Linked DNA regions of Saccharomyces cerevisiae S288C. Each later gene encodes a partner of the first gene's protein in a complex. Each region holds a gene or a part of one and is shown on either strand. Other genes may lie near its edges. The genes, in order: MRPL4, MRPL23, MRPL10 and MRPL36.

The links.
Region 2: MRPL4 (region 1) and MRPL23 share a complex: the UniProt entries of both Saccharomyces cerevisiae proteins name them as parts of the mitochondrial large ribosomal subunit.
Region 3: MRPL4 (region 1) and MRPL10 share a complex: the UniProt entries of both Saccharomyces cerevisiae proteins name them as parts of the mitochondrial large ribosomal subunit.
Region 4: MRPL4 (region 1) and MRPL36 share a complex: the UniProt entries of both Saccharomyces cerevisiae proteins name them as parts of the mitochondrial large ribosomal subunit.

The regions. Positions count from the first base shown.
Region 1 is NC_001144.5:1,012,492-1,015,950, reverse strand, and holds MRPL4 (mitochondrial 54S ribosomal protein uL29m MRPL4), read right to left. Parts: upstream 1,461-3,459; coding exon 501-1,460; downstream 1-500. Other genes in the region: SEC39 (Sec39p), read left to right, coding at 1-383; U4/U6-U5 snRNP complex subunit LSM3, read left to right, coding at 1,773-2,042; CAR2 (ornithine-oxo-acid transaminase), read right to left, coding at 2,176-3,450. UniProt on the Saccharomyces cerevisiae protein: Component of the mitochondrial ribosome (mitoribosome), a dedicated translation machinery responsible for the synthesis of mitochondrial genome-encoded proteins, including at least some of the essential transmembrane subunits of the mitochondrial respiratory chain.
Region 2 is NC_001147.6:610,189-613,005, reverse strand, and holds MRPL23 (mitochondrial 54S ribosomal protein uL13m MRPL23), read right to left. Parts: upstream 1,008-2,817; coding exon 516-1,007; downstream 1-515. Other genes in the region: DNA-directed RNA polymerase II core subunit RPB2, read left to right, coding at 1-9; SMP3 (glycosylphosphatidylinositol-alpha 1,2 mannosyltransferase), read left to right, coding at 1,618-2,817. UniProt on the Saccharomyces cerevisiae protein: Component of the mitochondrial ribosome (mitoribosome), a dedicated translation machinery responsible for the synthesis of mitochondrial genome-encoded proteins, including at least some of the essential transmembrane subunits of the mitochondrial respiratory chain.
Region 3 is NC_001146.8:102,619-105,674, reverse strand, and holds MRPL10 (mitochondrial 54S ribosomal protein uL15m MRPL10), read left to right. Parts: upstream 1-1,572; coding exon 1,573-2,541; downstream 2,542-3,056. Other genes in the region: WSC2 (Wsc2p), read left to right, coding at 1-491. UniProt on the Saccharomyces cerevisiae protein: Component of the mitochondrial ribosome (mitoribosome), a dedicated translation machinery responsible for the synthesis of mitochondrial genome-encoded proteins, including at least some of the essential transmembrane subunits of the mitochondrial respiratory chain.
Region 4 is NC_001134.8:483,443-486,077, reverse strand, and holds MRPL36 (mitochondrial 54S ribosomal protein bL31m MRPL36), read left to right. Parts: upstream 1-1,574; coding exon 1,575-2,108; downstream 2,109-2,635. Other genes in the region: transcription factor TFIIIC subunit TFC1, read left to right, coding at 1-1,336. UniProt on the Saccharomyces cerevisiae protein: Component of the mitochondrial ribosome (mitoribosome), a dedicated translation machinery responsible for the synthesis of mitochondrial genome-encoded proteins, including at least some of the essential transmembrane subunits of the mitochondrial respiratory chain.

The DNA.
Region 1 (3,459 bases):
ATTTAGATTTTGGCACAGCATACGAATTGGGCAAGCAAGTGTTTGAAATTTGTCAAGAAGCGGGCCAACATATGATGAAGGCGTTGGGCGATGAGCATTGGTTAACATTTTATCAAATGGGGAAGTTTGTCGATCCAAATTGGGTGGATAATGAAATTCCCACAGAGATAATTGTTCTGCAGATGAGCATCTTGGGCCGCTTACTGGAGGTTTGCCCCCTTGAGGAAGTCGAAATTGTTACATCGCAATGGAGCACACTAGAATTGGAGCTAAGCGCCCGTGACCTGGTGAAAGACAAGTACGCACTGGACGGACAGAACGACAATAAGAGTAAGGTAGGCGGCATTGCTAGGGAGATTTTCCACAACGTGACTAATTTCTGAATACATACAGCGTATAGCTATATAAAGGTGTATGTATGTGTGTATGTATGTGCGAGTGTGTGTGGATATATATATATATATATATTTACAGGAGAGAGGGTAGGAAGCCCACGGGAATCATGCAGTTGCTTGCTCCACGGAGCTTGCATGAATTAGCTGTTTCAAGTATTTTCTCACGGTGGGGAGTTCGTCTAATTTAGGGACTTTATTATCTGGGGACTTTCTCAGGTCTTTGATGGCGACACAAGCCTCTTGAACGGCATGAGGTTCGAAGTCGGAAGTGAATAAGATGAACGACTCGCCCACGTCTGTGATCGGTTCTTGTGATATTTCGGATATGAGGTCATTGGAGTCCTTGAACCGCTGTAGTTTTAAGTTTGCCAAGAACTTGATCCCGTCGATGAAGTTAATGTCGACTGTATTATCCTGGATGGTTTCCGATATGCCGAAAATGGCCAACTGGAATCGTGTGAGCATGGAGGCGACTTCGTCATCAGGGATATCCTTGTTCAAGAAGTAATCGTTGGCCAAAGTATCCAAGAACTTTTTCCTCTCCGATTCATCCTGTAAAAATTCGCGTGAAGCGCTATAGGCCAGCTCTCTTTCGTTAAGTACATGTCTTATTTGCCACATGGTGGTTCTGATAGAGTTAGAGAGCTCACTGAATTCGTCATGCGTGGAGCCAACAATGTTTTTCAAGAGATGGTTTTCGCGAGCAAGCACATTTTGCTCCCTGAGGCAGTTGTACCAAAGGGAATGCAAGTCGTTAAAGGACTTGTGCCTCAACTCTGGGATGCTCCAGGGTCTGATATGGCTGGAAGGCGGCAAGTCGTCGGCGGACCTGATGAATTTCTTGTTGGAGAAGAACTGCCACAGCGGGTGGTCGTCGGGACAGCGCAGGTTTGAGGTTGTTGGTGGGATTGGTTCGGTAATCCTCAGGTTGTTGGAGTGATGAGTCAATTGAGTGGGCGGTCTTATTTTGTCTTTGGGAAGCACCGGTTGTTTTGGCTTTGGTTTGGTAAACTTTGTTCTGGCACGCAGGGGCCCTCCTTGGGAGTGGAACGATCTCTTCCACATTTTTATTATATTTTTATGGTATTTTTTTCTAGCCGCAGAGATAGAATGGTACTCTCTTACCAGGGCTCGATAGCTTTCAGGGCAATTCTTTTAGTTTGCTGAAATGATATTTTTTCTTCTTCCTGATGCGCCCTTTTGGCTATCCGTGCTGTGTGATAGGTCGCGATATTGAAAGAAGAAAAAAAGCAAGAAAGCTGAGGTTTGAACAAACAAGAGGCAGGATGTTTCCATCCATTCTAGCAACCAATACAACAGGGGAGAGACACGCAGATAAATACACACACACACACAACATCACGCACACTCAAGAAAATGGAGACACCTTTGGATTTATTGAAACTCAATCTCGATGAGAGGGTGTACATCAAGCTGCGCGGGGCCAGGACGCTGGTGGGCACACTGCAAGCGTTCGACTCACACTGCAACATCGTGCTGAGTGATGCAGTAGAGACCATATACCAATTAAACAACGAGGAGTTGAGTGAGTCCGAAAGACGATGTGAAATGGTGTTCATCAGAGGAGACACAGTGACTCTAATCAGCACGCCCTCTGAAGATGACGATGGCGCAGTGGAGATATAAGCAAAGAGGAGGAGAAAACAAAGGGAAACAGTACGTATTTTTTTATTTTACTTTTAGTATATTAAAAATGTGTAAGATATAAAACAAAAAAAAGAAAAGAAACGAGAAAACATAAAAAAAATGCGTATTAATATTATAACAGATCGATACACTTGGCAATGGTTTCGACACCGGTTTGCAAGTCCTCTTCGGAGATGACCAAAGGAGGAGCCAATCTGATGATGTGGTCGTGGGTGGGCTTAGCCAAGAGGCCGTGATCCTTCATCAATAGACACAAGTCCCAAGCGGTCTTACCATTGGCCTTGGATGGGTCGATTACGATGGCGGTAAGCAGTCCCATACCACGCACCTCAGAGATTATACCGTTAGATTTGGCTTGGAGAGCTTTCAATTGGGCGATGAAAGAGCTACCCAGTTGGGCGGCTCTTTGGCACAGCTTCTCGTCGCGGATGACCTCGAGGGCGGCGATGGCAACGCGGGAAGCCAAAGGATTACCGCCGAAAGTAGAACCGTGAGATCCTGGGGTAAAGCAAGACATGATGTCGTGAGAAGACAGAACACATGAGACGGGAAGAACACCACCTGAGAGAGCCTTACCTAACAAAACAATATCAGGCTTGGCCTCTGCCTTGTAGTGGTCGTAGCAAAGCAACTCACCGGTTCTACCGATACCGGTTTGAATTTCGTCAACGATCAATAGGACGTTGTGCTTACGGCATAATGCGGAGACCTTTGGGAAGTAGTCTGCGGGGGGCACGACGATACCGGCTTCACCCTGAATTGGCTCTAGAATGATGGCGGCAACGTTCTTACCTTCAGGAGATTCCAAGATAGGGACGAAATCTTCTGCGTGGCCGTATCTGATCTTGTGCACGGAGTGACCACTGGCAACGTTAGGCACGAAAGGCCCGAAATGCAACTTGGAGTCCTCGTAGTCGGTACTCAAACTGATAGCACCGAAGGTTCTCCCGTGGAAGTTACCCTCGGCACCCAGAATGATGGCTTTATCTTGAGGGATGTTCTTCTTCATGTACCCCCATCTTCTGGCCAACTTCAAAGCAGTTTCCACGGCTTCTGCACCGGTGTTCATGGGCAAAACGGTTTCGAACCCGAAGAATTCGGTCACGAACTTGGCGAATTGCGCGTAAACATCGTTGTGGAACGCTCTGGAGGACAATGTTAGTGTTTGTGCTTGCTCCGTCAAAGCCTTGATGATGTGAGGATGGCAATGGCCCTGGTTGACGGCAGAATAAGCGCTCAGGAAGTCGAGGTACAGCTTACCCTCCGGGTCCCACACATGTGCGCCCTTAGCCTTGTGAAAAACGACGGGCAAGGGGTGGTAGTTGTGGGCGGAGTATTTGTTTTCCCATTCAATGGTTTGCTTGGAGGAGAGGGTAGCTTCGGACATTGGTGTTGT
Region 2 (2,817 bases), on another chromosome or scaffold:
GATTTTTAAGAAATAATGTTGTAACTCTAAGAAAGTAAAATAATAAAAAACATTTCATTTGTGCTGATCTTGCCAAAAAAAGGGTAAACAAGTAGGCAATAGTAATAAAATAAGAATGAAGCATTTCTTTTAATAAGCAGAGAGAACTTTCAAGCATTCAAAAAACACAAAAATAATGATGAATAAAATGGGACTCACAGTGTTTATTTATAGTCCTTGTTTCGCATTTTACCAAATTAAAATTTAATTTTATCAAGACATATTAATGAACTTTAGCGGAAAACCTTAAATATCCAAGTCATAAATAATGACTTATGTAAAAAGTTATAAGAAAAATATACGGTGTTCATTTTGGAACAATGTTGCTGTTACACACTGTTAAATATATTTAGTATTCATAAAAGAAAGAAGATTTTAATACGCGTTTTGATTAAAACTACATAACAGATAAATATATACATGGATTGAAGACTGCAAAAAGGATATATAAAAAAATGACAAATAATTTCAATAAGCTATTTCAATTGGTTAAAAATTGATTCTTTAAGAGGCTCTGGTATTGATGATTGCTCATGGGCAAAGGCAGTAATATTTTGTTTATAAGGGTTTTCACTTCCATCGAAAACTTTTAAGCGGTCTAACCGTTGCTTTCTCAATTTATTTTTAGGCAACATACCGCTAACTGCTTTTTTCAAAATTTCTCCAAATCCTTTATCGGCAACAACCTTGTTCATTGTCTGTAACTTTAGCTGACCAGGTCTACCTGAATGAGACCAGTAAGTCTTCTGCTCAAATTTCTTACCTGTTACACGGATTTTTTGGCAATTAGTCACTACTACGTAGTCTCCACAGTCTTGTGACGGATGATAGACCGGCTTATGTCTACCAATTAAGGTAATTGCAATTGCTGAAGCCAATCTACCCAATGTCCTCTTATCACGGGCAACGTCGACATGGTGCCAAAGGCGCGCAAAAGCCAAGCCACTGTGTCCAATCTTCTGCGACATGAATAGGCTATTGTTGATGCTGGTATTGCTTTCTTTTTCTATATGATATCAGTGTATTCATAAGGTCTTTCTCTTTTACTTATTTAGAACGTTTTAAAGATCTCTAAACTACAAGGAAGGCTCCATGCGGGTAACAATCAACATTATAACGATAATTAACTAAACCATAACCGTCTAAGTAACCATAGCGTGCGGTGATTCTTCGCTAGATGGAACTCATGTCTTACTAGTAGCGTGTTTGGTACGTGCAATATAGAGCAAAACATTATATAGACATCGTAATAGCTTTTTATGTGCGGACTGTAATGTTTGTAAGAAGTAAAACCAGTCACTAATATAGTGAAAAAAAGTCAACTTATCGATCTATGTATCTCATAGAAGATGTATTGATTTAATATAACTTATAAAGGTGCTTCTACAGTAAGGTGCTGAGAGGACTTACTATGTCGGCAACAAGTTCAAATCTGAAGCTCTGAGGATTTCGCGAGATGCGCACAATCTGAAGTAATATAAAGATGAAAACACAATACAAAAGGCCTGAAAATCTATATGTCCGATAAGATATCATAGTATTCTTACTCGCAAGCACACATCAGGTACTTGGAAGTGTATGATGAGGTATCAATGGTGGCTTTATTTAGTATATGCCATCGGCCTAATGCTATGCCTAGGCCCGTCGTATATTCATCCAGATGAACATTTCCAATGCATCGAGATTTTGGCTATGCAGTTCATGAAGGTCAAAGGTACCATCCCATGGGAATTTAAATCAAAATTTGCTGCTAGGAGTTACGGCCCCCTATTATTGGTTTACGGGCCTTTGTTCACTATTTTAGAATCTTTTCCCGAAATTCAGGACAACCCAGCGTTAATTCTGTATTCGATGAGACTACAAAACTATGTGATGTACCTATTGTGCTATCATTTTTTAATACCTAAATTAATAAGGGATGAGAGAAAGGCCGTACAATTCATCAAAAAAAGTCTACTTTTAACTTCTTACGTAACCTGGACGTACCAAACACACACGTTTTCCAATTCCATAGAAACGCTGGCTTTAATCTCAACTTTAACTGTAATGGAAGATATGGTAAACGAAAAAAATATTCAAAGAAGTAATTTCAAAAATTCGGTTATATTGGGACTTATATTTAGTTTTGGTGTTTTTAATAGAGTTACTTTTCCTGCATTTATTTTCTTACCATGTTTGATATTATTCTGGAAGTTTTACCGGGTCCATTGGAAATCCTTTTCTTTACTTTTACTTTCATTTTCATTTTCCTCGTGTCTATTTGTTCTTATTGATACAAATATTTATAACAACGGAAAGGGATTTGTCATTACGCCCTTGAATAACCTGAAATACAACCTCAATGTCCAAAATTTGCAAGTACATGGATTACATCCAAGATACACCCATCTGCTGGTCAATTTACCTCAAATAGTTGGCCCAGTATTGCTGCTAGCGATTTTTTCCGGTTACAAACTCGATAAATTATCTACTTACGCAATCATATCTGGCCTGCTTTTTCTTTCATTCTTTCAACATCAAGAATTAAGATTCCTTGTACCGCTAGTGCCACTACTCGTGACAAACTTAAACTGGACACCTCTGAGTTCCACGTTAGTAAACAAGAAAATTTTCAAGGGAACTTGGCTTCTTTTTAACATAATCATGGCGTTCATCATGGGAATTTCACATCAAGCAGGAATTATCCAATTTTTGGGAGATTACTTCCACTTTCGTACCGAACAAATGGGCGTTCACATATGGTGGAAAACATACTCACCACCCACCTGGATGTATATG
Region 3 (3,056 bases), on another chromosome or scaffold:
CGTTATTCTTTTTCGTATGGAAAAAACGTCGCCAATCTTCTCAGCATGTGGACTTGGAAGAGACAAAGCAGTACCAGCCGTACTCACTGGGTGATGCTGACGCTAACCCTGTTATTCCACCGTCTGCTTCGAGCACTAACTGGCACATACCCTCTAGGAATAATACAGCATTGTCCAAGAATACAGCGTCTACTTTTGCCACTTATGATCTGCCGACAAGGGCGCCGGGCGGCAGAGATTCTATTATTACTGGTGATGCACATAATATCAGCAAAAGAAGTCACTTTCCCTCGGTAGTGTACGAGGAGCCTCCTTCGATCTATAACGGGAACCAAAGGTTCAGTGCTACTTCGCTGCCCGATATGATGGAAGAAAGACAACTACACATTGTCAACCCCGATAATGTGAGTTCAAATATTGGGAGTAATGTCTCAGATGGTGATGATGATTACGATGATGCAAAGGATTCCAATAATAGTTCTTTGCGCTGACTAGGTTTAGATACCAACACTACATATTCATATCAAAGACTTATTCATCCTTTCATATTTCTTTCCTTCATTTTCCCTTTGTATGTATAATATTATTAAAGCCGACGATTATTGCACGAAAGAAAAAAAATATAGATAAAGTGAACAGTACCGACCATATCAATATTGATTTATCATGTTAAAAAGTTAAGTATATGTATAGTTTATCAAAATGAATGTACACATTTTCTATTCTTCACAAATCTGAGGCAATGGGGTCTGTCTCAAATCACCATCAGGCATGTTTACCGTAGAATAAAAATAATATGCTTCCAATCGGATTTGAACCGATGATCTCCACATTACTAGTGTGGCGCCTTACCAACTTGGCCATAGAAGCTCAGAACTTGAGAAAACCGGATATACAAGTGCTACTTAACAAAATGAGTATGGAAATCCTAATCTTCTTACTTTAGTTAGTATAAGAATCTGTGTATATTTGGTGAATAATTTGATGATTGTTGGGATTCCATTGTTAATAAATACTATACTAGAAGTTCTCCTCGAGGACATATGATGTCGTTAGGACGTGATAAAAACCATTTCGTCCTTGGGAGATCACGGATGCATCGAGAAGTTTCCTAGCCAGTCATTGGGTTATTGTGCCGAAATTAACTTTAATCAATCAGAAGAGAGAAACCAAATGGCGTCCCCCAATTATTCACACTTCTGCAAAACAACTTAATTACTTTTCGTTTTTCACAAAACAAACGCAGCTCATATTTTGGGTAGGGCATTCCAAGTATCCATTTTATTGTGCGTTCATTGGTCTCGGTGAACGTAGGACAATATGAGTTCCGATTATACCAAATACCGTAGCAAACTCCTGATTGCAATTAAACAGTATATTTTGCGTATTCTGCGTCGCAAGCAATGTTAGATAAGGTACCTTTATGTACTATACAAAGCTACTATTCACAGCTACTATCTTTATATCCGTTTTTCTATTTGGCAATCGTATAGTTTTCTTACCCGGCTGAAACTCCAGGTAACTGCACTAAACGCAGTGCGTAAAATTAAAGCTCATGACCTTTAGAAGTTGATGAAAGCGGAAAGGCAAACAGGATTAAGAAATAGTTTTACAACCGTAATCGGTCGCAAACTAATAAACACTTTTGTTCCGTCCATGATGTTAACTAGCGTAGCTGGTAACGATATTTTTTTCCGAGGTTTATTCAAATCGCCGGTATTAGCATTTCAAAGTTATCGTTATGTTTCGATTTTGGGACAATTGAAACCGTCAGATGGTTCTACAAAGTCTTTCAAAAGACTTGGGCGTGGTCCTTCCAGCGGTTTAGGTAAGACATCAGGGCGTGGTCAAAAGGGTCAAAAGGCGCGTGGTAAAGTAAAATCGTGGTTTGAAGGTGGTCAAACTCCAATTTACAAGCTATTTCCTAAAATTGGATTTACCAACGTTGGCGCCAAACCATTAAAGGAATTAAACTTGAAACGCATTCAATGGTTTCATGATAAAAATAGGCTTCATTTGCAACCAGGCGAGGTTTTAGACATGAATAAGATGAGAAAGCTTGGTCTGGTAACTGGTCCCATAAAGTACGGAGTTAAAATTCTAGCCAGCGGAAAGTTCCACTACAATCTACCGATTGCTTTGGAGGCTTCTAGAGCATCCGCTAAGGCTATTGCGGCTATTGAAAAAGCAGGAGGTAAGTTTACAGCTCGTTACTACACACCGTTGGGTCTAAGGGCACATCTCAACCCCCAGTGGTTTCTTGAGAAGAGGGGAAGAGTACCACTACAGGCTAGACCCACGAAAAGAAGGGATATTGATTTCTATAGTAAAGAAGAGAAAAGAGGTTACCTAGTAATGGAAAAAGATAAACTCTTACAAGATATCAAAGAAGCTCAAAATAAGGGTTCTAGACACTTTTTAAAACAGAATGTAAAAAAGAGCTCATTAGAAATAGAGCTAGAAGAACTGTCTCCAGAGAAGGATTGGGTGCCAGTTGTGTCTAATTCTAAAGTCATGAACATCAAGGCTTTGGACCACTAAAAAATTGTTAACCGTTTTATATATAAGTAATATTCTCACTTGTACATACCTTAAGATATTGTCTTGTTAATGATTCATTTGGTGTCCGAAATTATTCTATTTTTCAGTCAATTTATGACCAACTATCGAATAAGGTCCTGATTTTCAGAAATTTTTAACTTTTATTTTCTTTTTTGTGAATATACTTTAAGCAAACTCAAACATATTAAAAGATTGCATCTTGCTTTTTCGGGAGAAGTAAAGCAGTTAAAGGAAAAGAGAAAAACTACATTCTTCTTTTAAGCATTATTATAACAGGGTGAAATGGTTATTTAGTAAATAAGCACAAATACAAAAAAAATAAACGACCCCAGTGAGGGTTGAACTCACGATCTTGCGATTAACAGTCGCACGCCTTAACCAACTTGGCCATGGAGTCTTATAATATATGATTTGTTGTATCTCAAAATGAGGTACGTCAGTATGACGATTCCTTATCCTAAACGTTCCTAAAACACATATGTGTGGGAAATGGG
Region 4 (2,635 bases), on another chromosome or scaffold:
TCAGGAAAACATCGGGAATTTGATCTTAGACCGTAGCGTTAAAATTCCGAGTACAGATTTCCAACTGCCGCCACCTCCTAAGTTATCAATGGTTGGTTTCCCCCTGCTTTATAAATATAAAGCTAATCCATTTGCGAAAAAAAAAAAAAACGGTGTCACAGAAGTGAAGGGAACATATATCAAAAACTATCAGTTGTTTGTTCATGATCTTAGTGATAAGACAGTTATACCGTCCCAAGCTCATGAACAAGTCCTGTACGATTTTGAGGTCGCGAAGAAAACAAAAGTCTATCCAGGCACTAAAAGTGACTCTAAATTTTATGAATCGCTGGAGGAATGCTTGAAAATTTTGAGAGAGCTCTTCGCTAGACGTCCAATTTGGGTTAAAAGACATCTTGATGGGATTGTCCCGAAGAAGATACACCATACTATGAAGATAGCGCTGGCACTCATATCTTATCGTTTCACAATGGGGCCTTGGAGAAATACATATATCAAATTTGGTATAGACCCCAGAAGTTCAGTGGAATACGCCCAATATCAAACAGAATATTTTAAGATTGAAAGGAAATTACTATCTTCTCCCATAGTGAAAAAGAATGTACCAAAGCCACCACCCCTGGTATTCGAATCAGACACTCCAGGCGGTATTGACAGCAGGTTCAAATTTGATGGAAAAAGAATACCGTGGTACCTGATGTTGCAGATTGATTTATTAATTGGTGAGCCAAACATTGCAGAAGTTTTTCACAACGTCGAATATTTAGATAAGGCGAATGAACTAACTGGATGGTTCAAAGAATTAGACTTGGTCAAGATAAGAAGGATAGTAAAATACGAACTTGGTTGCATGGTTCAAGGAAATTATGAGTATAATAAATACAAGTTGAAGTATTTCAAGACAATGTTATTTGTTAAAGAATCCATGGTACCCGAAAACAAGAACTCAGAAGAGGGAATGGGTGTTAACACCAATAAAGATGCTGATGGGGACATAAATATGGATGCAGGTAGTCAAATGTCCTCAAATGCCATAGAGGAGGATAAGGGTATCGCTGCTGGTGATGATTTTGATGATAATGGCGCCATAACTGAAGAGCCAGACGACGCTGCTTTGGAAAATGAAGAGATGGACACTGATCAGAACTTGAAGGTGCCTGCAAGTATAGACGATGACGTGGATGACGTTGATGCAGATGAAGAAGAACAAGAAAGTTTTGATGTTAAAACAGCGAGCTTCCAAGATATCATAAATAAAATAGCTAAACTAGATCCTAAAACCGCGGAAACAATGAAAAGCGAGCTCAAGGGATTTGTTGATGAAGTCGATCTGTAATAAGTAGGTTTTCTTTTATTTCAATATCAAAATATGCCAAATGTGCAATAAAACCATAACTACGTATGTGATATTTCTGAGTTTTGTCCCCAAACCGTAAAGAGCGATTATCTCGTGCAAAATGCATCAAAATCAAATAACTAAAATGAAAGGGTATCATTATTATTCCTAAAAGTTAAGAATGCCTCCAGAAAGAACGGGTACCAACGCAAACGAACACACGTTTTGTTCACTCCTAATGTTGAAGTCTATATTTGCGAAGCGATTTGCTTCCACAGGGTCATATCCTGGTTCTACAAGAATTACTTTGCCAAGAAGGCCTGCAAAAAAAATTCAACTGGGGAAGTCACGACCGGCTATTTATCACCAATTCAATGTCAAAATGGAGTTGAGTGATGGAAGTGTAGTTATCCGGAGATCCCAATATCCAAAGGGTGAAATTAGATTAATTCAAGACCAGAGAAATAATCCGCTGTGGAATCCTAGCAGGGATGACCTAGTCGTTGTGGATGCTAATTCTGGTGGTAGCTTGGACAGATTTAACAAGAGGTATAGCTCTTTGTTTTCTGTCGATTCAACGACCCCAAATTCAAGCTCTGAAACAGTTGAACTATCTGAAGAAAATAAAAAGAAAACACAGATTAAAAAGGAGGAGAAGGAAGACGTTTCTGAAAAAGCGTTCGGTATGGATGACTATCTATCTCTGTTAGACGATAGTGAACAACAGATCAAATCAGGTAAGTTGGCCAGTAAGAAGAGAGACAAGAAGTGAATAGTGTTTGCTCCCCTTACTTTTCTATTCTCGAACCAATTTATATTCCTTTTGGGACATAGATCTCAATCGCATCTGTTTGAAGACTACATAAACAGCCTTGTATATACCGCAACATATACACATACGTCTACATATGTATATATTGACAACGAAGATTCTGCGAACGCTTGGTTTGGCGCTATCGCGATAGATTAAGTGCAACAAGACACACATTTACAAACATAATATGAACCAGATATGATTCATGGATTATCGAGGCAAATGGTCTGTGAATGAAGCTCACTTACGCTGCAATAAGCAGCAACGGCATTGTAGTGATCATTTTCTACGCCTCGTAATATTTCAGCGCAGTGGAAAAAAATTGAAAATTTTTACTCTTCTCGAGTGTTGAATCACTGCTGCGATACTTATCACGTACTTTGTATACATAATTTTACTTGCAATTAGGACTCGAAATCTGTTCAATTACTTTTGAGGATTTCTTTTATTTTAGTTTCCCTTTTTGCATTCGTGTTGATTTTCAA